Coturnix japonica: one gene and its partner. The protein of the gene in region 1 interacts with the protein of each later gene in a pairwise test. Links are inferred from orthologs where the notes say so. Each region holds a gene or a part of one and is shown in the gene's direction. Other genes may lie near its edges.

Region 1 (4,232 bases):
CCGTTTCCAGAGGTGCCATCACTTCTGTGTTGGTACCCAAGGAACTATCAAATCATTACTGTTGCAATGAGCCCAGAAGGTGATGCTGTCCAAGGCTGCTCAGCTCCAGGTGGGCGATGGCAGCAGAAGATTTGATTACAGATTTGAAAACACCACAAGCTACAAATGTAGCAACCAAGTGCACGTGTACATAGAAACAACCCTCCCTAACAGCCACTTCATTGACATTCACCCCTGTTCTGATAGCCACGATGACGCCATCACAGCAGTTATGACATCACAATAGCTATGATGACATCACAATAGCTATGATGACATCACAATAACTATGATGGCATCACAATAGCTATGGTGACATCACAATAGCCATGATGACATCACAATAGCTATGGTGACATCACAATAGCCGTGATGACATCACAATAGCTATGACAACATCCCGCTGTGGGCTGTAGCACTTTGTACCCCTGAAGCCCTGTGAAACCATTGACTGCTCTTATAGTAAAATCTCATTCCTCATCACTGCTCCCATCGTTTTGGCTCTGGTTTCTCTGGAGCTTTTCAAAGCCATCTTTGGGCCAGGGTCAACCTAGATAACATGTAAATAATTAATCGTTTAAATAAATAACCTGCTGTCTGCAAACAGCCCCTCACTCGGTACCTGGGTTAATAAATATGTCACATAACACAGGAGCGGAGCACGGAACCTTGAGCTCCTATTGCCGGCCTTTGGGGGAAGAACAGTAGCAAGTGGTACTGCAAGTATGACAGTAGTATGGTACTGATAGGGGCAGTGGGATTGGAGCACCATTAAACTGCAGCCCCGCTACTATGTGGGAAGATGGCCCCGAGCGCAGGGAGCTTTGTGTGTAAATAGGAGAAATAAGGCAGGGAATGCTGGAAAAAGGAATGTTTGTGGGCACAGTGGGATGAGCAGTGAGCGCTGCATGGAGCATTCACCCTCCTGCAGGCACCTCTGGAAGCAGTCCCGTGTCTGCTGCTATTGGGGCAGCGTTTGCCCTAAAGGCTTCAGATTTGGCCCAATTAAAAATCACCATTCCAACGAGCAGCGAAACATCAAAGGCTCAGGGAAAACAAAATATGATCTGCAAAACACGACAGACACCACGGAGGGGTGAAGCTGCATGAAACCCACGTGGAGAAAGCACAGCAGCGGTGATTCCCACTGCCATTTTCGGTATTAAAGATACGAAACTCAATCCCTTGGGCACCACATCAACCAGGGGTAGCGGCCCCTCCATCACGCGGGGCGAGGGGCTGAAGTTCTGCGCGGTGTTTGCGCCCTCGCCGCATAGACGGAGGCTCAGCGCCTCGCCGCGCAGCAACCGCGCAACCCCCGCGCAACCGCCTCTCTCAGTTTTTCCGCGCGTGGGCCACCCTGCACGGCACGGAACAGCTCGGCACAGCCCAGCCCGGCGGCAGGAAGCGCGGGGGGAGCTGCGCCCACCCCATCCGCCTCGCAGGGAGCGGGCGGAGCCGCGCAGGGTCGGGGCAGCGCTTCCGCGGGGGTAAGCGGTGCGGGGCGCGGGGTGCGGGGAGCGGCTCCTCCCGGCCCTCGTGCCCCGGCTGTGATATTTGGGGGGGGTTGGAAACAATAGCGTGTATTTGCAGAAGGGGCCGTTGGGTGCGGGGCGGCTCGGCGCTGCACAGCGAGGGCTTTGTGGGGCGGCACACGCTGCCCTCTGTGCGCTTCCCCGCTCCGGGTGCGGTTTGCGCTGAGCGGCGGCGCTCGGACACGTTGTTAAAGTTGGCACCTGCGCGGCACTTGGTGCTGTGGTTTCGTTGTGCGTTGGAGCAGGGAGCAGATCTGAGCGGGGGTCACAGGGGGGAATCATTGAAGCTGGGGAGGAGGCTCTGGGGCTGTGCTCTGTGCTTGACGGGACTTTGTGCTGGGACAAACCTTCTGTCCTCCTCCCAGACGTGCCATGGACATGGCCGGCCACAGCCTGCTCCTGCTCCAGCAGCTGAACATGCAGCGGGAGTTCGGCTTCCTGTGCGACTGCACAGTTGCCATTGGAGATGTTTACTTCAAAGCCCACAGAGCGGTGCTCGCTGCTTTCTCAAACTATTTTAAGATGATATTTATCCATCAGACAAGGTAAGGATGCGCAGCTCTCTCTCTATCTCCTTACTGCTCTCCTCGGCTTGCTGCTTTTTCCTCTTTCTAAAGGAGTTGCAATCTCAAAGAGCACAAGTGGGGATGTTATGTGGCCTGAGATGTTTTCCTAACCTGGCCTGCATCTCAGTTCCTGCACAGCCTGCCCAGCACCGGCGCTGCCATGGCCTCAGGAACTGCTCCAGGACAAAGCCGATCCCATGGGGCTCAGGCAGTTTTCTGGCTCAGCTGGATCTCTCCTGACAGGATCTGTGGGCTCGAGGCAGTCATGGAGCCATGGCCTTATCTTTTTGCTGCACTTCAGTGTCTGCAGATAAGGGCCAGGACTGTGAGCATCCACTTATTCCAGTCTCCTATCTGGATGCTTCACCTGACCGTACCCAGGGCAGTTCTGCAGGTATAGGGAAGTTGGCTCTGAGCCCTAACCTCGCCTCTGAACTGCAGCGATGGATTAAGCCCTTCTGTGTTCCCCCTGCTGCCCATGGCAGTGAGCTCCTGGCCTCCAGCACCACCACAGGGAAGTCATCACAGGGTTGGAAGGGAACTCTGGAGATCCCCCAGCCCAGCCCCCTGCTAAAGCAGTTCTTGACAGTAGGTTGAAGAGGAAGGCATCCGGGAAGGCTTTGAATATCTGCAGAGAAGGTGACTGCATCGCCTCTCTGGGCAGCCTGTTCCTCATGTTCAAATGGAACTAACAGTTTGTGAGCGTTGCCCCTTGTCCTGTCACTGGGCACCACCAAAAAGAGCCTGGCCCCATCCACTTGACTCCTGCCCTTTAGATATTTATAAGCATTGATAAGATCCCCTCTCAGTCTTCTCTTCTCCAGGCTGAACAGTCCCAGAGCTCTCAGCCCTTCCCACAGGGGCAATGCTGCAGGCCCCAATCCTCCCTTTGCTTGGAAGTGAGAGACAAGTGAACTTCAATAGCAATAGGAGTTGTTTGCTGACACTTAGGTGCAAAGCTCGTAAAGATTACATGGCAGCAGCAGCTGGATTTATTACCTGAGTGCATAAACACTCTGTGCCTCCTGAGGGTGGCACACATGGCCAGGAGCCATCACAGGTGGGGCAGACGAAGGCTGGCAGTGCCCACAGTCCTTCACCACAGCTCTGTGCACTGTCATTGCGATCACCCAGATACACAGAATCATTTGAGTTGGAAGAGACCCTTAAAAGCCATCTTGTCCAACTCCCCTGCAATGAACAGGGACGCCTACAGCTCCATTAGGTGCTCAGAGCCCCATCCATACACAAACACACGCTGAGCACTGCTGTGCACAGAAGGCAGCCATGCTCCTTCAGGCCTTGGCAAGGAGCACTGTCCGTCATGGACCTGCAGCCAGGCGGCAGCGCCTATGTTCTGCAAGCCAATGACGGTGCAGATGAATGGGCAGATAATGGGTCAGGGCTGTAATTTGGAGTCAACGATGTGCTTAATCATCTTCTTGTTTCAGTGAGTGCATAAAGATTCAGCCCGCAGACATCCAGCCGGACATTTTCAGCTACCTCCTGCACATCATGTACACTGGGAAGGGCCCAAAGCAGGCAGTCAGCCAGAGCCGGCTGGAGGAAGGCATCCGCTTCTTGCACGCCGACCACCTTTCCCACCTCGCTGTCGAGATGAACCAGGCCTTTCCCTCCGAGGCCGTGCAGTCCTCAAACCTCTATGGGATCCAGATCTCCACAGCGCACAAAGCAGCAAAGGAACGGCCGGGCGCCAAGGAGACGCTGGGCAGTGCGGGGGGCCGACCTTCTGCCCCAGCTGAGCACCCACAGCTGCAGCTCTCCCTTGCCATCGGCCTGGACGACAGCAGCCGCGAGCAGCCCGGCACACACCCCACAGCCCAGCCCGCAGTGCTGGCCAGGCCGGCGGAGGAGTTGCCGAAGCTTTCAGTCTCCATCAAGCAGGAGAAGTGCGAGGCTGAGCCTGTGGTGTCCCAGAGCTGTAGCCCTCCTTCCCCAGACAGAGCAAACCCCATCCTTGCCAAGGCCAACCTCAGGGTGCACCTGTGTCACTACTGTGGGGAGCGCTTTGACTCGCGGGCTGGGCTGCGGGAGCACCTGCACACCCATGTTTCAGGCTCACTGCCCTTTG
Region 2 (3,500 bases), on another chromosome or scaffold:
CTTTCTTTCTTCTTTCTTTTTCAGGGACGGATAGCATGTGCCAATGTCTTAAGTGACCTTTATGCCATGGGGGTCACAGAATGTGACAACATGTTGATGCTCCTCGGAGTCAGCAATAAAATGACAGACAGGGTAAGATTTGGGGTACTTGCTTCTGAAGTAAGGTCCCAAACAACTATACGTACTCTATACATACTTAGAACATATGCAGCTTTAGTGTATTTTCTCCTCAAATTTTGAGTCTTTTTAAAGAAGAGATGGCTCAGTCAGTTCCTCAGTTCATAGTGCAAGTCTTGCCTCATAAACTCTGTGAGATTATTCACTAAATCTTCAGTCTTCTGTGGCATCATAATTTGCTTCTGTTTTGTGATCCCCACAAAAATGGAGTCTCTGCTCCTGTTTACTGTGCTTTGAAGCAGGATTTGATTAGCAATTGATGTATTAATTCGGATAGATACTTTTGGTTTCCTCATGCCAGCTTTGTTGCATCTCTTTGAAGCAGAGGAAATTGAACTAGGTTCTTTTTTCTTAATTATTTTTTTTTCTTTTTGATGGAATTTACCAGCACGTATGATTGTTTTCTCTAGCAAAAAAAAGGTTTGTTCATTCTTAAAAGAAACTTAGTTGAAATGGTACAGGTTTAGTGGAGGCCGAACTCAGCTTGATTTAACTTTGCCTTATTGCACTGTGCTTCTGGCTGTACTTGATTACAATAGCAGAATAGTTGTTCTGAGTTTGCAGAACTCTCTGAATTTTCTACTTTTATATGTGACCTTTCGGAGAATGTTTCTTCAGCATTTTACAAGGAACTGTAAAGCCATAGCTTTATGGGATAACGTGGTTTCTGCAGGCTGACTGTCATTAGCTTTTTGCCATGAGGGAATTTGACTTGAGTGATTAAAGCCATAACCCTGTCTTGAAATGACTAGCACTGCTGTGGATGGAACTCTGACTTCTGTTTTGATCTCTAGGAAAGAGACAAAGTGATACCTCTAATAATCCAGGGTTTCAAAGACGCAGCAGAAGAGGCAGGAACATCAGTTACTGGTGGTCAAACAGTGTTAAATCCCTGGATTGTTTTAGGAGGAGTGGCCACAACAGTCTGTCAGCCTAATGAATTTATAATGTAAGTTAAATCACTCGACAATCAAAGGCATTGGTCTGACGGGATACAGTAAAAGTCCTTTAAATACCGTGTTGTGATCTGTCTTCTGATGAGTAAAGCAGTGCCTTCTCCTGTTTGCATTTGTCCTTAGCACAGAGCAGTTGCCACATCTCTTCTGTCCATTCTTTGCTTTTTAAAACAGCATGTGCTTTTACTTTTCTCCTGATATCTTTTGCTCTTCTCCTTTAGACAGGACAGTTAAGCTTCTAACCTTTACACGTTTTCAAGATAGTTGTGGGATACAAATTTCTGTCAGAGTTTAAAATGCAATACCTCCCAATTAACCTGCTAATTGCTGTAGAGAAATGGAGAATTGCTGTGTTTACTCATTCTGGCTGATTAACTGTAGCTGATCTTGAATGTTCCACTGTGGCATGCCACACTGTATGAAGGAATTTGTGATCCTAGTGATGCTTATTTTATATCCTGAGTAAGCAAAATAGTTTGGGTGGTTTTGTTTCTCTCCATTATTCTATTCTATATCTTCAGTAGATTGAAAGAAAGGGTGCAATTTTCTGTTTGTCTGATTGCAAATGTTGTTCTATTCCAAGAAAGGATTCGTACTTTTAAGTAAGTTTACAGCGCTTTTGCTCAGTGATACCCCTTGGCAATGAATCCCAAAGGGTAATTCAGCTATTAGTCTTTTTTTAATCTGCACAATAAGATACATGGGTCTGTGAAAATCTAATTATCAGCACTTATTCCTAATAACATGTGACTCTCGCTCTGTAATTAATATATGAATTCTTTGCTTTCAGGCCAGACAATGCAGTGCCAGGAGATGTGCTTGTATTAACTAAACCCTTGGGAACACAAGTGGCTGTAGCCGTCCACCAGTGGCTGGATATTGTGAGTACACTGCCAAAACCAAAATTAAGGGAAAGAGGCAGGAGGTAAAGGTGACCTTCCCCATTCCCTCAAAACCTCAGAAGGAAAAGCTGCAGCGTATACTCTTCACACTGAAAAGTATATTGAGTGCTCAGCCAGGAATCGTATAGAAATTAATTCCTCTTCTTCCTCCTTGTTATGTCAGCCTTATCTTCTTACGTGCAAAACTCTTTTGGAACCGAGACAGCTTAGCGTTTTGTGTTTAGTGATCTTAATTGGGTCTAATTCTTAGCTAGTTCTCTGGCATTGCTGTAACAAACAGAGTCAGTGACTAACAGTACAACAGATTAGCACCCTGGGTAAAATTATGCCCTATTCCACATGCCAAAGTAGTTGGCAAAAGCTGATTGATGTCAGTTAGGCCAAGACTGCTGTCTGGGTTCATAGACTTTCTGCTTCTGTACGTGGAAATATCTCCACCTTTCACATGTATTATCCTGTGCATTCAGTAGGAGTAATACTAGCTGCGTTATGTATGCAGACATATTTCCATCTGTTACTTCAGGCAAAAATGTAACTATTGAACTGAAATGTGACTGCAAAATTGGCATCTGCTTATGTTGTCTGGCTCCCAGTGTATGTCTTCCGAATTATAGCTGCTCAGTTTATGTTTTTAAAAGATGCATCTTTTCTGCTTTTGGGACTGCTGAGCCAATAGACAGGCAGAGGAGTGAGCTGAAATCAGTTTAGCCTGAATTTTAATTCCAAAGCCTGTGTGAGCAAAAGTGGGAGAGAACCAGCTTCACCCTTCGCTGGAATCTGAAGTGTGAGCAACCAGATAAATAATGTTTCCCCTAAAATACACAGGGTGCGGCCCTGACTTCTTGGCCTCTGCAAAATCCTACATTTTCCAGTCAGACACAAGCATCAAGGCCTCAGATAATCTTGATAGGAAAATCAAATGAAGCAAGACACATGTTTTATAGCCTGTTTTCTGGCCATAATCTCACTCCTTTACATATCTGTTATTTTACTGACAAACAGACTTGCAAATTAACAATACTCTGAATTTCCACATATTTCAAGTACTTGTAATTTCCTTGACTGTCAACCAGAAGCACTTTCTGGTCTGAAAAATGGGGACAGAAGGAAATCAATTCTCTTATTACAGTAAACAGCATATATCTTTGTTGTAGTGAAAAATTTCTGAGTATCGTTGCTGCCCTTTCTTTGGCTTTGTCTTGTGAAAGAGTAAAGAAAATAAAACTAGACTTACCCATCTCAAACTCACCTGTAAATCAAGCTTCAGAACGGAATTTGACTTCGTATTGAAAAGTATGTTAGAGAGGGTACGTAGTACTGCAAGCTTATGCCCAGGCCAAGAAGGGAAAATAACGTTTGGAGATAGAATCACAGAATTGTAGCGGTTGGAAGGGACCTCTAGAGATCATCGAGTCCAACCCCCCTGCCAAAACAGGCTCCCTACACCATGTCACACAGGTAGGTG

The links.
Region 2: the proteins of ZBTB25 (region 1) and SEPHS1 interact in binary tests that used the Homo sapiens proteins (3 or more experiments, as listed by UniProt). The two-hybrid records come from large-scale screens. The link is inferred for Coturnix japonica from reciprocal best matches to the Homo sapiens genes ZBTB25 and SEPHS1.

The regions. Positions count from the first base shown.
Region 1 is NC_029520.1:48,118,073-48,122,304, forward strand, and holds the start of ZBTB25 (zinc finger and BTB domain-containing protein 25), read left to right. Parts: upstream 1-1,432; 5' UTR 1,433-1,529; intron 1,530-1,939; 5' UTR 1,940-1,946; coding exon 1,947-2,119; intron 2,120-3,591; coding exon 3,592-4,232. UniProt on the Homo sapiens protein: May be involved in transcriptional regulation.
Region 2 is NC_029516.1:6,032,899-6,036,398, reverse strand, and holds part of SEPHS1 (selenide, water dikinase 1), read left to right. Parts: intron 1-24; coding exon 25-132; intron 133-971; coding exon 972-1,126; intron 1,127-1,923; coding exon 1,924-2,014; intron 2,015-3,500. UniProt on the Homo sapiens protein: Synthesizes selenophosphate from selenide and ATP.